Caenorhabditis elegans: one gene and its partner. The protein of the gene in region 1 purifies or fractionates together with the protein of each later gene. This does not show direct contact. Each region holds a gene or a part of one and is shown on either strand. Other genes may lie near its edges.

Region 1 (7,598 bases):
CGAAATGGGTCTGCTAGACTACAAATTACAAATTTCGATTTAGCAGACCCAAGTGGTTTTGAAGAAGTTTGGGTCTGCTAGACTACAAACTACAACTTTCGATTTAGCAGACCCAAGTGATTTTGAAGTGATTGGGTCTGCTAGACTACAAACTAGAAATTTCGATTTAGCAAACCCAAATAATAGTGATTTTCAAAAGGGTTTCAGTAAAAATACATCGTTTCAGTGGGGTTTTAATGGAAATTTTAAGAGAACATTGTAGTGATAAATACAATTTTACGGCGATTTTTTGTAGAAAACCCAAATTTTCAAGACATTTCAGTGATAAATGCGATTTTCCTGCACCTCGTGATCCATTGCTTGTGCCTTTTGAGCGTTTTTCCGATTTGCTCTCCGGTTTTCGCGTTCCAAATGCAAATTTCTCCGTTTTTGCAAGCCGAAGCGATTTTCGTAGCATCCGGTGACCAGGCGATGCAGAGAACCCAACTTTTATGGGATTTACACGTGTGGAGAGGCAACTCGAGCTCAATATCCCAGATTCGCATTGTTTGATCGCCGGAGCCCGACGCTAGACCACGTCCGTCAGGGCTGAACTGAGCAGAGATTACTGGCTCTCCGTGACCTGAAAAATATATTTAAATGCGTCAAAACGATCAAAAAATTACCTGGAATGCTAGCGGAGCATCTGGTAACTGGTCTCACACGGAACACTGCTTGTGGCTGATAAACAAGCTTTAATGTCTGAAATTTTAAATTTTTTAAAAAGTTTTCTATCTTCTTTCAAGGGCTTACAGTCTCAAAATCAATTTCCTCTAACGATTTTCGAATGGAATCGACAATTTCAGCGCCTTCTGTGGTGAAGAAGGAAATCGGCACAGGATCGTCACTGAAAACTCAGGATGAGATACAGAAAATTCATTATTCAAACAAAACCTGCTCCCGAGAAGCTGATTACACAAAATTTGCAGCTCATTCGTGGAGATGTCCACTGGAACAAGGATTCCCGATCCTCCGAGCTCGTTTTCGTCCTCTGACACGAAGCTGACCGAGATTTGTGGACTTTCAGTCATTTTGTTACCTGAAACCGTTTGAGTTTTAATTATTTTGAAAGTTATAACAAGGGAAATCGTTGAAATTGAACTGGAAATCGAAGAAATTCGTTAAGAAATTGCGCTAAATAAATTATTTTTCTCAGTGGAGCGAAGAAAGAAATACAGTGGAAAAAGTTAGGCCATCACTTTTTAGCATTCATTTGTATAGAGAAAACTGTAAATTTTTTACAGATTGTTATGTTTTTACACAATATAAAACATTTTTAACGTAACAGCAGTAAAAACTATGTCGAAAACAATAAAGAATAGATAAAAACCTACCGGGAAAATTTGAATTTGGTCATGGTCGAGTTCTGTAGTGGCCTAGTAACCTCCACTTAATATTCGAAAACGTTTATTTTTCAGTTTATTGCTTTATTTCTCTATTTTTAATTAAATTATTAATTTTCCTGAATTTTTTGCGAAATTTACGAATTTTCAAATTATTTATCTTATAAATTTGCAGAAAATGACTGCAGTTGTCTCAAACCGCGAGGAGGACTCGATGAACAACGAGCCCTCGTTGTCAGGGCGTGCGATTATTGGATTAATCTACCCGCCGCCGGATATTCGCAGTAAGTTTTATAGTTTAAACCAAAAATAAAACAGTTCTGCATGGTTTTGGAAAGATTTCACGCGGAATTCCGCAAAAACTAGGGCAAATCGATATTTTCCAAAAATAAGCAATACATTTTCAATTTTCAGCAATCGTCGACAAAACCGCCCGTTTCGCTGCAAAAAATGGAGTGGACTTTGAGAATAAAATCCGCGAAAAGGAGGCGAAAAACCCGAAATTCAACTTTCTCTCCATCACAGACCCATACCATGCCTACTACAAAAAGATGGTCTACGATTTCTCAGAAGGCCGAGTTGAGGCTCCGAAAGTACCGCAAGCAGTGAAAGAGCACGTGAAAAAGGCTGAATTTGTGCCTTCAGCTCCACCGCCGGCCTACGAGTTCTCAGCGGATCCATCCACGATTAACGCCTATGATTTGTAAGTTTTTTAGAACTTCTAGAACTAAAATTAGATGAAAAAGCTATTTTTAACCTAAAATGAAGTGAAAACCTTATAAATTGCAGAGATTTGATCCGACTCGTTGCTCTGTTCGTTGCACGAAATGGCCGTCAATTTCTGACTCAATTGATGACACGAGAAGCCAGAAATTATCAATTCGACTTTTTGAAACCGGCTCATTGCAACTTTACATACTTCACAAAGCTCGTTGATCAATATCAGAAGGTAAAAATCAAGAAAATCTGCGTATTTCTAAGAATTTTTAAAAAAATCTAGATTTTTCGGTTGAAAACTCAAAAAAAATCCAGCTTTTTCGGTAGAAAACTCAAAAAAAAAACATTTTGATAACTTTTTCACTATTTTCAGTTTAAAGATGGCGGAAAAGTGAGCTTTATAACTTTTATTTGAAATTTTTAAGCTAAAAGTTGCTAAAATATCAGTTTTCAGGTTCTGGTGCCCTCTACCAACGTAGTTGCCCAACTCCAAGACGATGCTACCAACAAAAAACGTCTCATAGAAGATATCAATTATCGTGTATCCTGGGAAAAACATCAAAAAGGTCTAAAAGATCGCGAGGAGGCAGAAGCCGAGAAAGAGCGTCAAGCCTATGCATCAATCGATTGGCATGACTTTGTAGTTGTTCAGACTGTAGATTTCCAGCCAGGAGATACTTCTCAGCTTCCACCACTATGCACACCAAAGGACGTTGGAGCCCGTATTCTTTTGGAAGCGAGAAATGAAATGCAAAAGGCGGCGGCTGAAATGCAGGAAATGGATATGGAAGAGAGTGATTCCGATGACGAAGATGCCGTTCAAGGTGCTTTTTTGGAGCATTTTACGTTGAAAATAGACAAAATTCACTTTTTTCCGGTTTTTTCCAACAGTTTTACTTTTAAAATAGATGGAAAACAATGGCAAACTATGAAAACGCTGAAATTCAAATTTAAGTGCTTCCAACCTGGAATATTTAAAATTTTTAGGCGAATTCACATTTTATTTCGTAGAAAACGAACAAAAATCGCAATTTTGAGTTAAAAAGTAAGATTTTTTGGGTCTGCTAAATCAAAACTTGTAGTTTGTAGTCTAGCAGACCCATTCTCTTCCAAATCACTTGGGTCTGCTAAATCGAAATGTGTAGTTTGTAGTCTTGCAGACCCAAGCTCTTCAAAACAACTTGGGTCTGCTAAATCGAAATGTGTAGTTTGTAGTCTAGCAGACCCATTCTCTGTAGAAACTACTTGGGTCTGCTAAATCGAGTTTGTAGTTTGTAGTCAAGCAGACCCAATTTCTTCCAATTCACTTGGGTCTGCTAAATCGAAAGTTGTAGTTCGTAGTCTAGCAGACCCAAAAAAATCAATTTTTTTTTATTAGCTTTGGCAAATTTTAACTCGGAAAACTAATGAATTTTTGGGACATGTGAGTTTCTATCCAAATTGATGGTATGAATATCGATATTCTCGGCTGAAAGTGCAAAAACTACCGTATTCTGACCAACAATTATTGGAATAGAGCACACGTGTCACCCGAAATACGAAAAGTATTTTTTTTTAATTTTTCAAATTTTTAAATTAAAAATGAGTATATTTATATATTTTCAGCACCAGAAGCCCCTGCATTCACTGCTCCGCTGCCACCTACAAAACAGAAAGACGTGATTGTTCGAGATTACGATCCGAAGAGAAATGTGACCCAAAAGCCAAAAGCTGTGGAGAACTGGATCATTTCACCGCTCACCGGAGAGCGTATTCCATCGGATAAGCTCGCCGAGCACGTCAGATACAATACTGTCGATTCACAGTATAAAGAGGACAGAGATCGTCATATTGGAGAAAGAAGCACGGAGGAGCCCGTATTGGCTCTTGGAGCTGATATTTCTAGGTTAACATTTCAGAAATTTCTTTGAAAAACGAACAAAAGTCTAAAAATCGCCACAATAATCTACAAAAAATCGATTTTTCGTGGAAATTTTGTTCATTTCCGCATTTTTCGCTCGAAATTTGAGATCAGTGCTTCAAATTAGACCTGGAAAGATTCTAGCTCAATTTCAGAAAATTTGGGTTATCGTAGCACCAGAAGTACTCAAACACTGACTACAGCACACCTAAGCACCAAATTTCACGACAGTGGTGAATTTTGAGCTAAAATCGATTTTCAGGAGTAAATTAGAGTGCTAAATCTAAAATTGGAATAAAAATGTCTTAAAAATTGTAAAAAGTGAAAATTAAAGATTTTCAGACAAATTTCCGATTACAAATGCCCACAAAAGATGTTCAAAGCTGAAAATTATAGATTTTCAGACGAATTTTCATTTTTCCACGTGCCAATATCACTAAACCCCAGTTTTTTCTTTCAGAAATCTTGGCAATTTCGCTGAACGTCGTACGGATATCTTCGGTGTCGGCGGAGAGCAGACTATGATCGGAAAGAAGCTCGGCGAAGAGGACAATTCGCAACAAGGGCAGAACAAACTGATTTGGGATGGAACTGAAGAGACTCGGGATATGATTACCCGAGCTGTACAGAATAAAGTCACTTTGGGTACGGGAAATCTAATTTTTTGGCGAAAATTTTGAGTTTTCCGGGATTTTGTTTGGGAAAATTACACGATTTGTGTGGTTTTCTATGTAGAAATTTCTCTAAAACACTCAAATGTTTCAAAAATTCGAGTTTTCATGAAAAACCAGTAATTCAAAAAAAAAGCAATTTCCTCTAACAAAAACCGTGCCAAGTTTTGGATTTATGATATTTTCCATCTGAAAAAAATCTGGTATCTCGGCTGAAACGGGCAATATATACCGTAGTCCAAGTTTTCCCAAAAATTCCAACCAACAATTTGTGCAATAAAGCACAGTTGCCACCGGAGATGCAAAAGCTATGTTTAATTTTCCAATTTTTGGCTGAAAATTGAGCTAAAAATTTACAATTTTCCCGTCATAAAACTCACCGAAATTTCGCTTTTCAGTGTTTTTTATGCAAAAAAATTAATCATTTTTCATTTTTCAGACCAACAAATCAACGAAATCCACCGTCAACACGGATTCGTTGCCGATCCATCAAAGGAAAAGATTGGAGCTCAGCAGGTGCCACGTCATCAATCGACCCAGGGAAATGTGACAATTACTCAAGGAATAACGAATATTCCTGGACAAATGCCATCCGGATGGCCGCCGGTTCCACCAATGGGAATGCCTGGGATGCCGAATCAAGCGGTATGGGATTTTTGAGTTGAAAAATCTCCAAAAAAAAATTCGTTTTTTCATGTAAAATCCTGGAAAAATCGGATATTTCGACAAAAATTGTCAATTTTTGGACCAATTCTCTTTGTATTGCAAAAACGAATCGAAAAATCCCAAATTAAACATGAAAACTAACATTTTCAATTTGGGTCTGCTAAATCGAGTTTGTAGTTTGTAGCCAAGCAGACCCAATTTATTCCAATTCACTTGGGTCTGCTAAATCGAAAGTTGTAGTTCGTAGTCTAGCAGACCCATTCGCTTCACAACAACTTGGGTCTGCTAAATCGAGTTTGTAGTTTGTAGTCAAGCAGACCCAATCTCTTCAAAATCCCTTGGGTCTGCTAAATCGAAAGTTGTAGTTTGTAGTCTAGCAGACCCAATCTCTTCAAAATCCCTTGGGTCTGCTAAATCGAGTTTGTAGTTTGTAGTCAAGCAGACCCATTTTAAAATTAGTTAAAATTGGTTAAAAATCGCGAATTTTTGCTGATTTCAGAGAGATATTGTATTTCTTTCGAAAAATATAAAGAAGTGGTTTTTTGTGTATTTCTGTTTAAAAAAAAATAAGAAAAAGCTACACCAGGTTAGCTGAAACTATATTTTTGTTGAAAAATAGTGAAAACGCCACCAAAAGTTATCTTTAACCGCGTAATTAGACGATTTTTCGGCGGAATTAACTGGAAACTGTGTTAAGATTAAAATTACTGAAATTTCCACAAAATTAAATTTTTTTAAATGTAAATTTCATCTCAAACGGACACAGAAATTCCCATTTTCACTGGAAATTCTCATGAAAAGCTCCAATAAAATGCATAAAGCTCTATAATTCCAGCTTCCTCCAATCCGACAAATGGACTTTGGCGGTGGACCTCCAGCGAAGCGTCCTCGTACCGAAGATGATTTGATACCAGAAGCTGATTGGCTTAAAAAGGTCAACGGAGCAATTTCGCTTAATGTTCATCTTCCACAGGCTCCCGAACACGGAATGGATGGCTCAATTGTGCAGTTTACAATTCAAGTTACTGCACCGGTGAGTTTTAGATAAGAAAATTGTTTTTTTCCCCTGAACGAATTTTTTCACCTTTATTTATTTATTTATTTATTTATTCGCTTTTAAACCATTTGAATAGTAAGTTGATAATAAACATAAAGAATAGGTAAGAGGCGAACAAATATAAGATGACCGATTGGACAAAGGTCCGTGGCCAAATGAGGGTGGGGGTATGAAAGACTTATTTACAGAAGCTTTGATGGGGGAAAAAAAACTATAAGTGAGATCACATCATAGTGTCAAGGGGCAGGGAACAAATACGTTTGGTAAACGTTTCGGCTGACACTGGTTTACTGAACAACTTGGCAAGAGAGTTCCAAAAAGATAGGTATTTATGCAAAAATATTTGTTTGTTGAATGGCCCATTGGGAACCACCTGATGCCCAATTAATTCATAATTTTTGCAGATGTCCGAACTCAAACAACAAATCCAGGATCGTTACGGAATGCCTGTTGGAAAGCAGAAGCTGATGTCTGATGGCCTTTTCGTGAAGGATAATATGAGCTCGGCCTTCTACAATTTGGCAGATCGGACGGCGATTTATCTGCAAGTGAAGGAGCGTGGAGGAAAAAAGAAGTGATGAGCTATCGATTATTTATTACTCTTATTAATATTTATTTTCTTTCAAACTTTATTCTAAAATTGGACGCCAATTTTAATTCTTCAAATCTCAACTTTTCTTCCAATAAATTTGTAAAAAAACCGTTCTGTAAATTTGGAGTGGAAAATCTAAAAGTTCAGACATGGCTATACAAAATTCAGATTCAGCATGTCAAATTACCCCGGGACACTTTTTCTCCGGCTTTTAGCCTTAAATTTCAGAAAATTGGGTTACTGTAGCACCAAAAATACGCAAACATCGACTACAGTACCCCAAAACACCAAATCTTACTACACTGAAGAGTTTTGGGCTGAAAATTGATGTTTAGGGGTAAACTGGAGTGCTGAAATCAAAAATTAATATGAAAATTCTAAAAAATCGATATGAAAATCTTAAAGTCCGGCATTTTCAGACAAATTCTTGATTTTTCTTGGTTCAAATAATAAATTCGAATTTTTTTGTTTATTTTGTTCAGATATCCAGATTTTTTAAATTTTACTTGTTACAGGACATTTTCAGAACAAAAAATACTAGAAAAACAGAAAAAAATTGCGTTTTCAGTAAAAACAAAACATTTTTTGCACAATCTGAAAATTGTTCGATTGC
Region 2 (3,367 bases), on another chromosome or scaffold:
AACTTGACGGATTCGATCCACGTGGAAACATCAAGGTTTGTCTTTAATTCTTTATGGAAATAACCCAAAAAAATCTGTAATATAAATTTATTTATCTCTTGCTTTCTTGAAGGCAGTTTATATCATTAGTTCAGTCCTTTCATCCAAAAAAAAAGACACACATTTTTCGTTTGATAAGTTTCCAAAAAATTAATGCTTACATGTATTGTAAATATGAGTGTTTCATTAAAATAATTTGATATTTTCAGGTGCTTATGGCAACAAACAGACCGGACACTCTCGATCCCGCTCTCATGAGACCTGGTCGATTGGATCGTAAAGTCGAATTCGCTCTTCCAGACCTTGCAGGTCGTGCTCACATTCTCAAGATTCATGCAAAACAAATGAGCGTTGAAAGAGATATTCGTTATGATTTACTTGCTCGTCTGTGCCCAAACAGTACAGGAGCCGAAATTCGCTCAGTCTGCACCGAAGCTGGAATGTTTGCAATTCGTGCTAGAAGAAAGGTGGCAACTGAAAAAGATTTCCTTGAAGCTATCAATAAGGTTGTCAAGGGATATGCCAAATTCAGCGCCACTCCAAGATATCTGACACATAATTAATTGTACCCTATTCGGTTTTCATTCTCTTTCCGGTCCTCGATTAACTTATTTTCGCCCGTCCACCCATTTTTTTTTGTACAGATTCCCCATGTCTCCGATTTTTGTCTTATTTATTACATCCTATCGTCGTGAGATGCACCCAAGTTGGCCCAACACTGTCAGATGTATTCGTTTCGATTTTATGGATAAATGTGATTGGGTTTCTGACTATTAAAACTTGTATACACCAGTTTAAATGAATCTGAAAACGTGCCATAAAACCTTTTCATAAGAAGAGTAGTAATCTAAACGCGATTACGGTGTAATGCCAGAAAAAGTAAGAATAGAAGAAATTGGCAAGCGTATTTTAATGGTACTAATATTGTGCACACTTTACCTAGGAATATATTTTTCATCTCTACAATGTTGACTAGCGCCCTGAATGCTCCAAGGATACTGTTTTCCAACTAAATGTTCAACTGTTCAGTATTTATATTCTGCCTCCTAGAGGCGTTCAAAAATTGCGTATGCCACCCATGTTTCAGGGGACATCGCGGGCAATTGGGAAAAGTTTTCAACCAGCAATAAACGCACCTCGGCAAAGCCTCATTGGTCACGTTATCGCCCCAGCGCAAAGCTAAATTCAGCAGCTCACTCAGCTGATCCTATAAAACACAGCAACCGACAAATCGCGGCTTTCGCGCACAATGGTGCTTTCTGCATTCTGTATTCTTCGGAATGCGGCGCGTGTGCGTTGCGGTCGTCTTTTTCGAATTGCAATCGCTCGCGGTTTATCGGAGTCTCTCTGTTTTCTTGAAACGAATCTCTTCCCTTCGATTAAAACTGCATAAAAACTAATAAAAATCTCAAAATTGATTTTTCTTCTACTTTCTTAAGATCTGTAAAGTTTCGTTCCTCCGAATTCCTCTTTATGATTATTTAGAAAACCTCGCCCAATACCTTATTCTTCACTCTTATCGGTATTTTTTACATGAAATTATCATTGATTCTCAGCTAACCAATTTAATTTCAGGGACTTCTATCAAAATCAACTTTGATCATGTCGGCGTGAGTTCACATTGTTTTCATTGACCAGTAGTTTAAATTTATTTTTACAGCCAAGCCAAACCCCGTTCAGAGATGACTGCTGAAGAACTCGCTGCAAAGGAGGACGAGGAATTCAATGTCGGACCACTCTCCATCCTCACCAACTCAGTCAAAAACAATCATCAAGTTCTCATCAATTGCAGAAACAACAAGAAGCTTCTCGGAAGAGTTAAGGCTTTTGACAGGTTAGGTTTCTTAGAAATACTATTAAGTAAAAACTCACAAGTATTTGTCGGTAGTAAACTTCAGACAACATTTTTTAAAGAAAAGTGTTTCAAAAATAATATTTGAATCATCGATAGTGAACGTATTTTGGTTGTCGTCTCGATGCTGTAGCAAAATATCATTTACTATATATAATGCATTTATTCCGTTTGTCCATAGTTTGTAGTCTGTGAAGGTTTGGCTTAGTGTAGGGATATAGTCGGGGTACTGTAGTGGTACAATAGTGGTACGGTAGGAGTACTGTATGATTATGGTAGTTTCAGAAAAATTAGTTTTCAGCCCCAGAAGTCGGGGCAGCGCCAGAGGTGCGGTCCACGGCTGGTAGATTTAATAAAACGGCACGATCCTCCTGTGCTGTAACAAATTGTCGTGGCATCAAATTATTCAAACACGTATTGCTACGATTTCCAAAGGGAAAACACAAATCTTACACTAATATAAGTACTTTCTCATTTGCCGTAACTTTCGTGTCCCGCAAAGCATGCAAAATTCCAAGAGGAGTTTTCTACTATTGTTCGTATAAAAATAATTGGAACGTATAGTCTAATTCTTTACTTTTTCAGACATTGCAACATGGTCCTCGAAAATGTGAAGGAAATGTGGACTGAAGTGCCAAAGACTGGAAAGGGAAAGAAGAAGGCAAAGTCTGTCGCCAAAGATCGTTTCATCTCAAAAATGTTCCTCCGCGGAGACTCCGTCATTCTCGTCGTCAAAAACCCACTGGCACAAGCTGAATAATTCACCTTCAGAAAATCTCCCAATCAGTACGGTTTTCTCGTATTTGTTATGACACCTTACAATTTTCGAAATTTTCACTCTTGTTCTTCCCCCTCCCGTTCACCCTGTTGTTTCGTTTCAATGATCATCATTTTCCACTTTTTATTTATTGATAAACGTTCCTATTTAATACCACAGTCGTGTTTTTTTCTGAAGTTGAATCCGTATCCTCGCGGCAGATGATTTTTGTAGTTCTGCGTGATTGTTGCTTGAACTTGAAACCGGTTTTTCGATTTTTCGTCGATGTTGACTGTCAGTGCTATCAGAATATCATCGTCTTTCGTCTTCAAAGTTCAGGTTACTATTGGTCGTTATTTTTTGAATAAAAACGCTATATTCCACGTTTTTCATGAAATGTGATTTATTGCCATATTCCAAAAAATCAATTTCAGAAACGAAAAATGCCGATGGTCAGAGTTGCGACGAATCTACCAAATGAGAAGGTTCCTGTTGATTTTGAGGTTTGTGTTTTAATCAAACATTTTCTAAACGACTCAACAAACACTGAACAGTCTAGAGAAAATTTGTAGAAAAAAACAAGTATTTTAAGAGAAACAAATATGGTTCCCGGTCTCGACACGACGAGTTTTTTCGTTGCGAGAAAGTGTGCGCCTTTAAAGATTACTGTAATTTTATACTCGAGTTTCTGCAGAATTCTTAAAGATTTTATATAGTTT

The links. The genes of interacting proteins can lie anywhere in the genome.
Region 2: the proteins of prp-21 (region 1) and snr-4 fractionate together in Caenorhabditis elegans (co-fractionation; one large-scale study listed by BioGRID). This does not show direct contact.

What each region holds. Positions count from the first base shown.
Region 1 is NC_003280.10:483,309-490,906, forward strand, and holds prp-21 (uncharacterized protein), read left to right. Parts: upstream 1-1,557; 5' UTR 1,558-1,560; coding exon 1,561-1,666; intron 1,667-1,796; coding exon 1,797-2,085; intron 2,086-2,171; coding exon 2,172-2,331; intron 2,332-2,553; coding exon 2,554-2,923; intron 2,924-3,704; coding exon 3,705-3,984; intron 3,985-4,459; coding exon 4,460-4,644; intron 4,645-5,109; coding exon 5,110-5,315; intron 5,316-5,573; exon of another isoform or gene 5,574-5,656; intron 5,657-6,171; coding exon 6,172-6,369; intron 6,370-6,797; coding exon 6,798-6,971; 3' UTR 6,972-7,095; downstream 7,096-7,598. Other genes in the region: gldi-1 (NLE domain-containing protein), read right to left, coding at 346-622, 666-741, 793-886, 934-1,070.
Region 2 is NC_003283.11:11,977,971-11,981,337, reverse strand, and holds snr-4 (putative small nuclear ribonucleoprotein Sm D2), read left to right. Parts: upstream 1-1,614; 5' UTR 1,615-1,641; coding exon 1,642-1,649; intron 1,650-1,699; coding exon 1,700-1,873; intron 1,874-2,004; exon of another isoform or gene 2,005-2,025; intron 2,026-2,476; coding exon 2,477-2,651; 3' UTR 2,652-2,830; downstream 2,831-3,367. Other genes in the region: rpt-1 (26S proteasome regulatory subunit 7), read left to right, coding at 1-35, 249-602; MIF-like protein mif-2, read left to right, coding at 2,934-2,987, 3,083-3,151. UniProt on the Caenorhabditis elegans protein: Plays a role in pre-mRNA splicing as a core component of the spliceosomal U1, U2, U4 and U5 small nuclear ribonucleoproteins (snRNPs), the building blocks of the spliceosome.